Linked DNA regions of Drosophila melanogaster. The protein of the gene in region 2 interacts with the protein of the main gene of each other region in a pairwise test. Each region holds a gene or a part of one and is shown on either strand. Other genes may lie near its edges.

Region 1 (4,945 bases), on a different chromosome or scaffold from region 2:
AGCGTCTGTGGCCAGTTTCTTGGTCTTTTCCGGTTTACCCTTTTTCTTAACCACGCCCTCGATGCTGGCGCTCTTGTTCAGCGACTTGGGCTGCGGTTTCTGTACTTTAACCATATTATTTTTTGCTTTTTTGACAGATGCGTAAAAACTCGAGCAAAACTATATTTAAAATGCACCACAACCACACGTGCTACGCTTTAATATCGATATGTTCAGAATCGCAAAACGTAGCTACAGTCGATATCGGGAACTATTTTCATTACCGATGTCTCAGGCACGGTCACAACTTTAGCCAATACACACCCCCTTCGCAGGGCCGAGCACCAATAGCAGCTGTTTCACCAAAACCGATTGGAAAATTGACCGTTATAGCATATCGATTTCGATTTGTATCCCATCTCTATTTCTCCCTTAGAAGATAAAATTAAATTTTTTAATTTTGTAATGTAATATAGAAATTATGATGATGATTATATGATTGAGTATTTCTACTCTAATCCAACAAAAAAACAAGTGGCTACGTTACTTGCTTTGCTTTCTTTAATTAGGGTACTATTTACATAGCAAACAGTTATTTTAAGTAAATAATTCTAAGAATAGTCAAATTCCGCAAGCTGCACGCGTGCCTAATCGCCTCAACAGGACACAGAATGTCCTTGACTCACACGCCGCCACACACAAAGCGCCCACGCATCACATACACATACGATGGATCCGCGCACATGGAACATTAAAAGTACCGACACATGGCATCTCCCATGGAGCACCAAATTGGGGACTCCCCAGACACACAGTACATGCTAAAGATATTCTTGCAACAAGGATTGCTATGTGGGCATACGTGTGTGCTTGTGACAACTTTCTGGCACGTGACTGGAGACGAGAAAACTTTGCTGGCTTAAGGCAATTACAATATGAAGGAGTCCTAGCGTGTACGTTTAAAGCTTCAGCTTCTTGGCATCCGCCTTGGCGGTATCCTTTTTCGGTCGCTTTTTGGATGCTGTAGCCGCTGCGGTATCCTGCAGTTTGTGGAAGAAAGCCTTTGAGGACTTCAGAGCTCCCTGGTCGTTGCTGCTGGCATTGATCTGCAAGAAAATCGTTTAAAGTTTGATTCATTTAGAATTCAAAATCGCTCAAGAATAGCAATTAAATACAAAACATAAAACAGAGATAAACTAAAATGTTATATACCTTTTGAACATTGCGATTCTTGGTGATTGTCTTGAGCAGCTTGGCATCCGCTTCCTTCTTTGTGGGCGCCTTGCCCTCCTTGGCTCGCTGAAGCTCGCGCTGCTCCAGAGCCGAGTGGATGGCCCGCTGCTTTTGCTTCTTTTTGCGGCGCTCGCGGTTCTTATCCGTTCGATCGCGTTCGGTCTTGCCAAGTGGAGCGTGCTTGGGTCCGCGGAACACCTCCTCGGGTGCCAGCAGCTTGGCATCGCTCACCGCCAGCGGGGCCACCTCTTCCATGTGAACTGCTGGTGTGTTCGTTACGATCTTGATCTCCGGCGCCACCGGTTTCGGCGTGAAGTGGAAATTGGAGAGGGCGTCCAATTTAAGGAATAGGGAACGCATTGCCCGCTTGATTTCTTGGTGTTCTTTCGGTTCCGGACCAGTTTTGTCATCGGCATCGCGATTGGGATCGAGTTTTTCCATTTCGCGCTGATACTGCGCCTCGTAGATCTGCGACAGCGATTGTTTTGATTTCTCCTGGTCAAGCACAAGTTGTTTTCTGTACTCTTGCGGGGTGTTCACCGGTCGCACAGTGCGCTCCACATCGTCCCATGCTTTGTCGCGAATACGCTGCTTAATTATGTCCTCGATGGAGCGGTTATCCTCTTCCGTGATTGGCGCCGTTGGCCTGGTGGTCGAATCGAAGTCGAGAATCTCCTCAAGCAGTGAGTTCTGGGGCCGATTGGCTGCCTTTACTTCGCCTTTGAGCTGCCAAGGCTTCTCGCCTAGGACAATGTCTTCGTAGTCGCGGATGCGTTGAAACAAACGAGCCTCTCTCATCTCATTGGATGATTGGGACGGTGGCTCTGTGGGTTGTGGCTCCTCCTCTTCTTTCTCCGAATCCGAGTCTGAATCGCTGGCAGGTTCTATGCCACTTTTTGCCACGAATTCGGATTCATCTATTTCGCTGGCCGCCTCATCTGGATCTTGATCATTTTCAGGTTCATCATCGCCCTCGTCTCCTTCGCTTTGATCAGAATCGCCCTCTTTGGGATTTGCATCCTCATCCGGTTCATTTTCATTTTCACTCTCGTTTTCATTGAAGAAATCTTTCTGCTTGCCTTTGTTAATCTTTTTAGAATGCTCTGTCAGTTCCTCATTCATGTCAAAGAAGTCCGCATAGTTGACATTCCCCTCCTCATCGTCCTCCTCATCTTCGCCAAGACCAAAATCCTCTGCGAAATGATCTATATCATCGGCCTGCTCAACGCGTTTCTTGCTGTTCAGGCGGCGCATCTCCTTGGCATCCTCCTGCTCCAGGAACTCATTCATCTCTTCCAACTTGAAGAAGGTATCGTCCACCACAGAGTTGCGTAGTCGCTTGTTTCGTTTGTCTTTCGGCGGCGCGGTCTTCTGCTTTTGTAGCCCTCCATCCTCGTCGCTGAAGTCTGATTCCTCATCTTGTTCCTCATCGCCTGAGTCTTCAGCTTGTATTACTTCGTCTTCTTCCTCTATTTCTTCACCATCGTCCAGTTCAATGCCCAGGTGCTGCTCGCGCATCGCCGTCAGCCTGGCGGTTTGCTCCAGCACCTGTTGGAACACTAGTTCGTTGCGAATCTCCAGTTGCTGCCAGATCTGCTCCTCGTCCATTTGCTCCAGCACCAATTCCGGCAGCAGTTCCTTCTTGTTCGCCACATCCTCGCTGATGCTAACGGCGTATGTCTGCTGGATAAGCTGCTCGATGGCATTCACTTGTTCCGGCTGTGGCCTGAAATATAAATTGTTTTGACTACGTTTGAAAAAACACGTGCGCGGTCTTTGGAAGGAAAACAAACTGGAGAAAACGCTCTGGATTCTTGGTCAGCTGCTCGAAGTTCTCTGCGATTTCCTTGAAGACATTCGCCTCCTTGGATTTTTTACTTCCAATCATTTTTACTACTGCTTTCTGTGCTTAATTAAATGAAATATATATTCCAACAATTCGAGCGCAAGAGCGGGTCCAAAAACAACAACCAGTTGGTGAGAGATGGAACAGATACATAGAGATGAGCGCGTGATACAAGTACAAGTTTTTCCAAGCTTAAAAACTTTATGCGAGTTGGAATCCTGTTTTGAGCCAAAATTTGTTATTCCAAAAATAATAAATATATTTAACTTGAAGAAAACAAAGCTCTAAAAAAAATCATAATTGCTTACACAGTAGACCAGAAGCCGTATATCGTGACAAGGAAATCGATAATTTATCGAAGGCCTTTGCCACCACCAAGCCAGCTGTAGGCGGCTTTTTACAGGCGGAGTCCGTTCACAAAAACTATGCCCAACTAGAAGATGGATTCGAAGTTCTTTAAACTGCTCCTGCTGGGCGGCGCCGTGCGCTTCTACTTCTGTCGCACGCCGCTGGCTCCGATGATTGGCAACCGAGTGGAGTTCGCGACACCTTTAAATTCACACAAGCGCAGTAAGTAAACAAAGTAGACATCAAATAGATGAACAAGTCTGAATGGAGTTATTCTTGCAGTGCAAGAGGGGATATTTCTTCTACAGAGTGGCATTGATCCCTATCTGGGCGACCTGGTACACGAATCGCCGCTGATACTCAGCGCGCTCTCCGGATTGTTTCAAAAATACCCGCAGTTTCTGCCGATATTCTACATAATCCTGGATATCTGCACGGCGGCCCTGCTTTATGCGATGAGTCTGAGATTCGTCAAGCAAAAGCAGGATCAGCAGGACAAGGAGCGAAAGGAGTATGCCAAGGATACGGAAGAGCTGCAGTTTGGCCCGCTGGACAAGCTTGACATTCCGGAACTTGTGATCGTGGCATATCTTTTCAGTCCACTGACTGTTATGAGCTGCATTGGAATGACCTCCACCGTGATAAGCAATCTGTTCCTGGCTTTCTTTTTCTACTGCCTCGTGAAGGGAATGCTCATTCCATGCCTTCTAGTCCTCGCGTTCGAAACTGTCCGCAGCTTCTATCCCATTGTACTTATAGCACCACTGCTCCTGGTCTTTTCACGGAATTCGGTCAGGAGGGGTGTGGCTATAGCGGCGCTCTTTATCGTCAGTTGTCTAATCGTGGCAGTTGCGAACTATTTTGTGCTGAACAGCTGGAACTTCCTGGATGGAACGTTGGGTTTTATGTAAGCAAGAACTATCTTATTAGTTATCTGTTTGTATTTTTACGTATTTAACTATCTTACAGATTTTATTTCCGCGATCTACAGCCAAATATCGGTCTCTTCTGGTACTTTTTTACTGAAATGTTTGAGCACTTCCGCACCATGTTCCTAATCACATTCCAATTGAATGCCACCGTATTATACCTGGTGCCACTAAGTATTAAGCTGCGCAAGGAGCCCCTACTGCTAGCCACGGTATTGGTGGCCCTTATGGCCGTTTTTAGGGCGTATCCCAGCCTGGGCGATGTCGGCTTTTATCTGGCCTTGCTTCCGCTGTGGAAAAGATGTTGGAAATGTAAGTTATCTGGCTCACGTAGTTATTTCAACTGCTAAGCACTTTGGTAATTTCTTTCAGTCATGGCCCATGGCTTTGTGGTCTTTACGTTCTTCCTGGTCACTCTATCTATGATGGGAGCCCTTTGGCATTTGTGGATCTATGCAGGATCGGCAAATGCCAATTTCTATTTCGGTGCCACTCTTGCGTTTTCCACTGGGCAGATATTTCTAATCACCGATCTGCTGTTCGCGCACGTTAAACGTGAGTTCTGCTTGTTCAATGGTCAGAAGATTCTGATCGATGGCGAGGAAGCGAG
Region 2 (4,334 bases):
AATTTTGCCACACTGCGCTACAAAATCCGTTGGATAACTGCCAGGTGGTGCTGATGGTGGTAGCGATGGTAGTGGTGGTGCTGCTGCTGAAAGAGCAGCAAAACCAAATGGAAATAAAATCCCAACACACCCATTGTGACGCCAGACGTTTGTTTTGCTTTTCTTCCTCTTTCGGCGCTGAATGTCATTATCAAGGTTTATTTGGCACTCTGTTTTTCCCGCCTTTTTTTTTTTTTTTTGGTTGCGATTGTGAATGAAAAGCGTAGAAGTGAGTGGGCGGGTTTGTTTTTGGGGGAAATATTGAGATAGGGCCAAATCGGATCGCGTACCGGCTTAAATCGGCGGTAAATCAATCTCGGAATTGCTGTGTGCCAAATAAAAAGTAGAAGGAAAAAGGGAAAACGTTGAGACCATAAATTAAAGAAGACAAAGGATGAGATGTAAACTGCATTATGTCAACGGTGGGCAAAGACTTATTTGTTTCAGACAAATACTAGATTATTTATTGCACAGCTTGTGTTCATTACCTTTGGCATGCAAAAAAGCATAAGATAGTCATGCAATCATTTTTGCATATATCTTTAGTCATTAAATTTTAAACTTAGTTTTGTCGCAACTCTTTATATATGTATGCTTATATGTGTTCTCAAGTGCTTCTAATAAAACTAATGGTTCCCTAGCGACAAAGCCGCAAAGCAAGCATTTAAGTTTTTCGATTGAAGCCAGAAGCAAACATATGTATGTATGTATGTACGTATATTTGTAGCTTTATATTCCTTTGTTGCAAAATTTGCGATACCCAAGTGTAAACAAAGAACCCAAAATTAGAATGAAAATCCCACTTTGATCTAAATCAAGAGCAGAGGTAAATATTTTCATAGACGCCCAAACTTACCGGCGACTCTCTGTGAAGATATTGTACATACATATAAGCACTTAGAAGCCCTTAAGATAGAAGTTTTTCAAAGTAAACAAACCGTTTCCTGTGCACTAAGAACTTGCACCACTGTGGTACAGTGAATCAAAACCATAAATTGTTCAATTTGATTAGGTGTGCAAGTGCGAGCAGGAGAAAGAGAGTAGGCGAGAGAGAGAGAGAGAGAGAGAGAGATGACGAGTGCGTGTGGATGGCCGGCAATCAAAGTGAATCATCACTTAACAAATGAGGAAGACAAAGCAAACAAACAAATGGATAACGGATAAACAGATGCAGAAGAGGTGAAGTGTGTGAAGGTCCAAGTGGGAGGGGCGGGAGAGAACAAAGGAGGCGAGGCAGTGAGTGAAATGCAGTGAGATAACACACACACACACACAACAGCGCACACAGTCAAACAATTAGTGGGCGTGTGCAATTAGCAACAAAAGCATAAAACTAAGAACAAGTGCAGTTAATCGCAAGAGTTGCGCGATGCAAAAGGGAAAATCGAGAAAATCACGCAGAAGGCTCTTTAAATCCCATAAATAGCCACTTATGCAGCTGAAAACTAAGAAGAGACGACAAATTGCGAAATAACTCACCTGCAACACCTGCTTCCAAACCAAACAAATCGTCCTGCAGCTCTAATTGATCCATTGCAATCGAATACAATCCGTAATTAAAAATTGATGGCTAAAAACAATACGCGTCTGCAAAAGTTGCAGCTGCGGCCATTTTTTGCTTGCCCAGCCTGGAATTCCAGCTTTTAATCACGTTTCACTTTTTAAACACTCAAAGAACACTTCTATCATTCTTTGACACAAATGCACACGAAAAAAACACTATTTCCAATTTGATTTAGCCAATTTTAGGAACGTTTTTTACTGCAAATGTTGGACGAAAATTTACGCGTAGCGAAGAAGCAGAAAATTATAAAGCAGCTGATTTTTGTTTTGACCAGGGCTACGTTAGAAACTTGCCAATCGATAGGCGATTGTACGTTACGTTTTTCATTACGTTGCACTATCGGCGCTCAGCTGTTTTGCCCCGGCAATGACGTCACGCGTGAACACTCAATTTCTTGTATTTTGATTGGTATTATCAAATTAGTATATCGCATTTATCTGCAAATACTTGACTAAACATAAATAAACGCGCACTAATCAGGGCGCGACCATGTCGCCGGCGATTGCAACGTGTGCTTAAAGGCCTAACACAATGGCCTAAAACAATCAGAAGTCGGCGAGGCGCAAAGAAGCAAAAAAGGAAGAATCGCTTGGAAAGTTTATAACTAAAAGTAAGTAAAAGGAATTAACAGTATTAATTTGACAAATGAAGCTGTTACCTGTATTAGTTGTGACTTTTAACTCTACTCTTTAGATATAGTTACAAATGCTTCCTAAATTGGAACGTACGCCAATTATATTGGCTTAACTACAACACTCATTAAATCTTTTTCAAGTGCCTGTCCTTTTAACACAAATGTAATTGCATTGAATATTTTAATATATGAAATTTACGAATCACACGAAAAACCCATAATTCCCAGTACTTTAAAATTAAAGAACTGTCTTAGTAAGATAACATTCATGGCCACGTCTTATGTATAGCTCTTACTATCTTAAACAAAAGATTTAGTATCTGTGTTTAAATACCTCGCTGAATTATACGTAAACAAACCAGTTCTCCATAAGAAAATTCATAGTAATCCTCACACGCCACCATTGCAGATATCAAAATGGAAGTGCCAGTACATCCACTTAGCCAGGATCCCACGGCCGCTTGGAGGGAGATTAGCAAAACGCAGCGCGTGATCAAGGTGACAATGAAGCCACCGACCACCACGGTGGCGCCCAACAAGGCACGAGTGGTTTGCATGTCCGACACGCACTCCCTGACGCCCTACATCAAGTTCGATATACCAGATGGCGATATATTCATACATGCCGGCGATTTTACCAAGTGCGGCCAACTGGAGGAGGTGGAGGAGTTTAACACCTGGATTGGAGCACTGCCCCATCGCCACAAGATCGTGATTGCTGGCAATCATGAGCTCAGCTTCGATAGAACCTTCACCCATCCTTTCCAGAAGAGCAAAAGTCATGCTTCGAGCAGCAAACACACCGGCATGTCCATCCTCGATGATCTGCCCACTTTGGGCAACGCCAAGGAGAACTTGGAGAGCGCTGTGCAAACGCAGAATGTCCGCGATGTTCTGACCAACTGTCGGTATTTGGAGGATGAACTACTTGAGATTTGGGGTATTCAAATATATGGCTCGCCATGGCAACCGGAATTCTGTCGCTGGGCCTTTAATGTTCCACGTGGAACTGCCTGTTTGGATAAGTGGAATCAAATCCCGGAAGGCATCGATATCCTGGTCACCCACACGCCGCCCGTGGGTCACGGCGATCTCTGCTGTTCCGGCGTACGAGCCGGTTGTGTGGAGCTACTCAGCACAGTGCAGCAACGAGTGCGCCCGAAATACCATGTCTTCGGACATGTACACGAAGGCTACGGCATCACCAGCGATGGCAGGATCATCTTTGTGAATGCCTCAACGTGTGACATCAACTACCTACCCAACAATGCCCCCATCGTTTTCGATGTGACGCTGCCCCCCGGATTTCGCAAGGATTAGCATGCCTAGATGATTATTTATTGTGTCACAGGTTCAATGAATTTATTTTCGTCCCACTTTATGTTTATGTTAAGGTATTTCGTCTGTAAAGATTTTGAAGCACAATTGTAGGTGTCTAGAGAGATAGAATTCAATTCGCACGAAATTAAAAAAAGAAATTCACACTTAAGATGCCATAAAATATTTATTCAAGTAGAGTGCATTTGTCAATATATGAATTTGTAAAAATAAACAAGTTTTGAAGACACCTAAACTTTTGAAGATTTTCAATATGATATTATATAGTTTTTAATAATAATTTAAGTAAAGGTAAAGCAAATCCTGAGATACATACATACTATTTCAAATTAGTATCGATAAGCCGCCAGAAATGGGTTGGAAAAACCTTGGAATGATTATTGGTTAGCAGCCCTGTCTCCCAATTTGACATTCCTCTTTGGCGCTCTGTAACGGCGCTTTTCCAGTGACTCCCCAATCAGCGAACCAACTAACCTGAGGCTGCACTTTTCGCGTGGCGACCAAAAAAATTATAAAAAAAAGGTCCCGCATTAGATTTTAATTTGTATACACCCAATTTTAGTCCAGCAAAAAAAAACTAATAAAATGGTGAGAAGAAGAAAAACTAATTAGTTTAAGAATTGCTGAAAGCGGGAAGTGAAATTTAAAATCAGAAAAGATGTGTAAGAAGATGTGAAATGAAAAGGTGTGGGAAGTGAACATGAATAAATGTTCATTGAAAATGAACAGCTAATTGCGAATTTTTTGAAACTTAACTGT

The links.
Region 1: the proteins of CG16717 (region 2) and CG13097 interact in a two-hybrid assay, tested with the Drosophila melanogaster proteins (one large-scale study listed by BioGRID).

What each region holds. Positions count from the first base shown.
Region 1 is NT_033779.5:8,511,655-8,516,599, forward strand, and holds CG13097 (uncharacterized protein), read right to left. Parts: upstream 3,215-4,945; 5' UTR 3,101-3,214; coding exon 3,006-3,100; intron 2,939-3,005; coding exon 1,192-2,938; intron 1,086-1,191; coding exon 939-1,085; 3' UTR 520-938; downstream 1-519. Other genes in the region: CG13096 (uncharacterized protein), read right to left, coding at 1-114; PIG-U (phosphatidylinositol glycan anchor biosynthesis class U), read left to right, coding at 3,499-3,628, 3,689-4,313, 4,376-4,647, 4,708-4,945.
Region 2 is NT_037436.4:9,677,254-9,681,587, forward strand, and holds CG16717 (uncharacterized protein), read left to right. Parts: upstream 1-1,947; 5' UTR 1,948-2,213; intron 2,214-2,646; 5' UTR 2,647-2,654; coding exon 2,655-3,557; 3' UTR 3,558-3,807; downstream 3,808-4,334. Other genes in the region: fry (furry), read right to left, coding at 1,519-1,573; alphaTub67C (alpha-Tubulin at 67C), read left to right, coding at 4,161-4,163.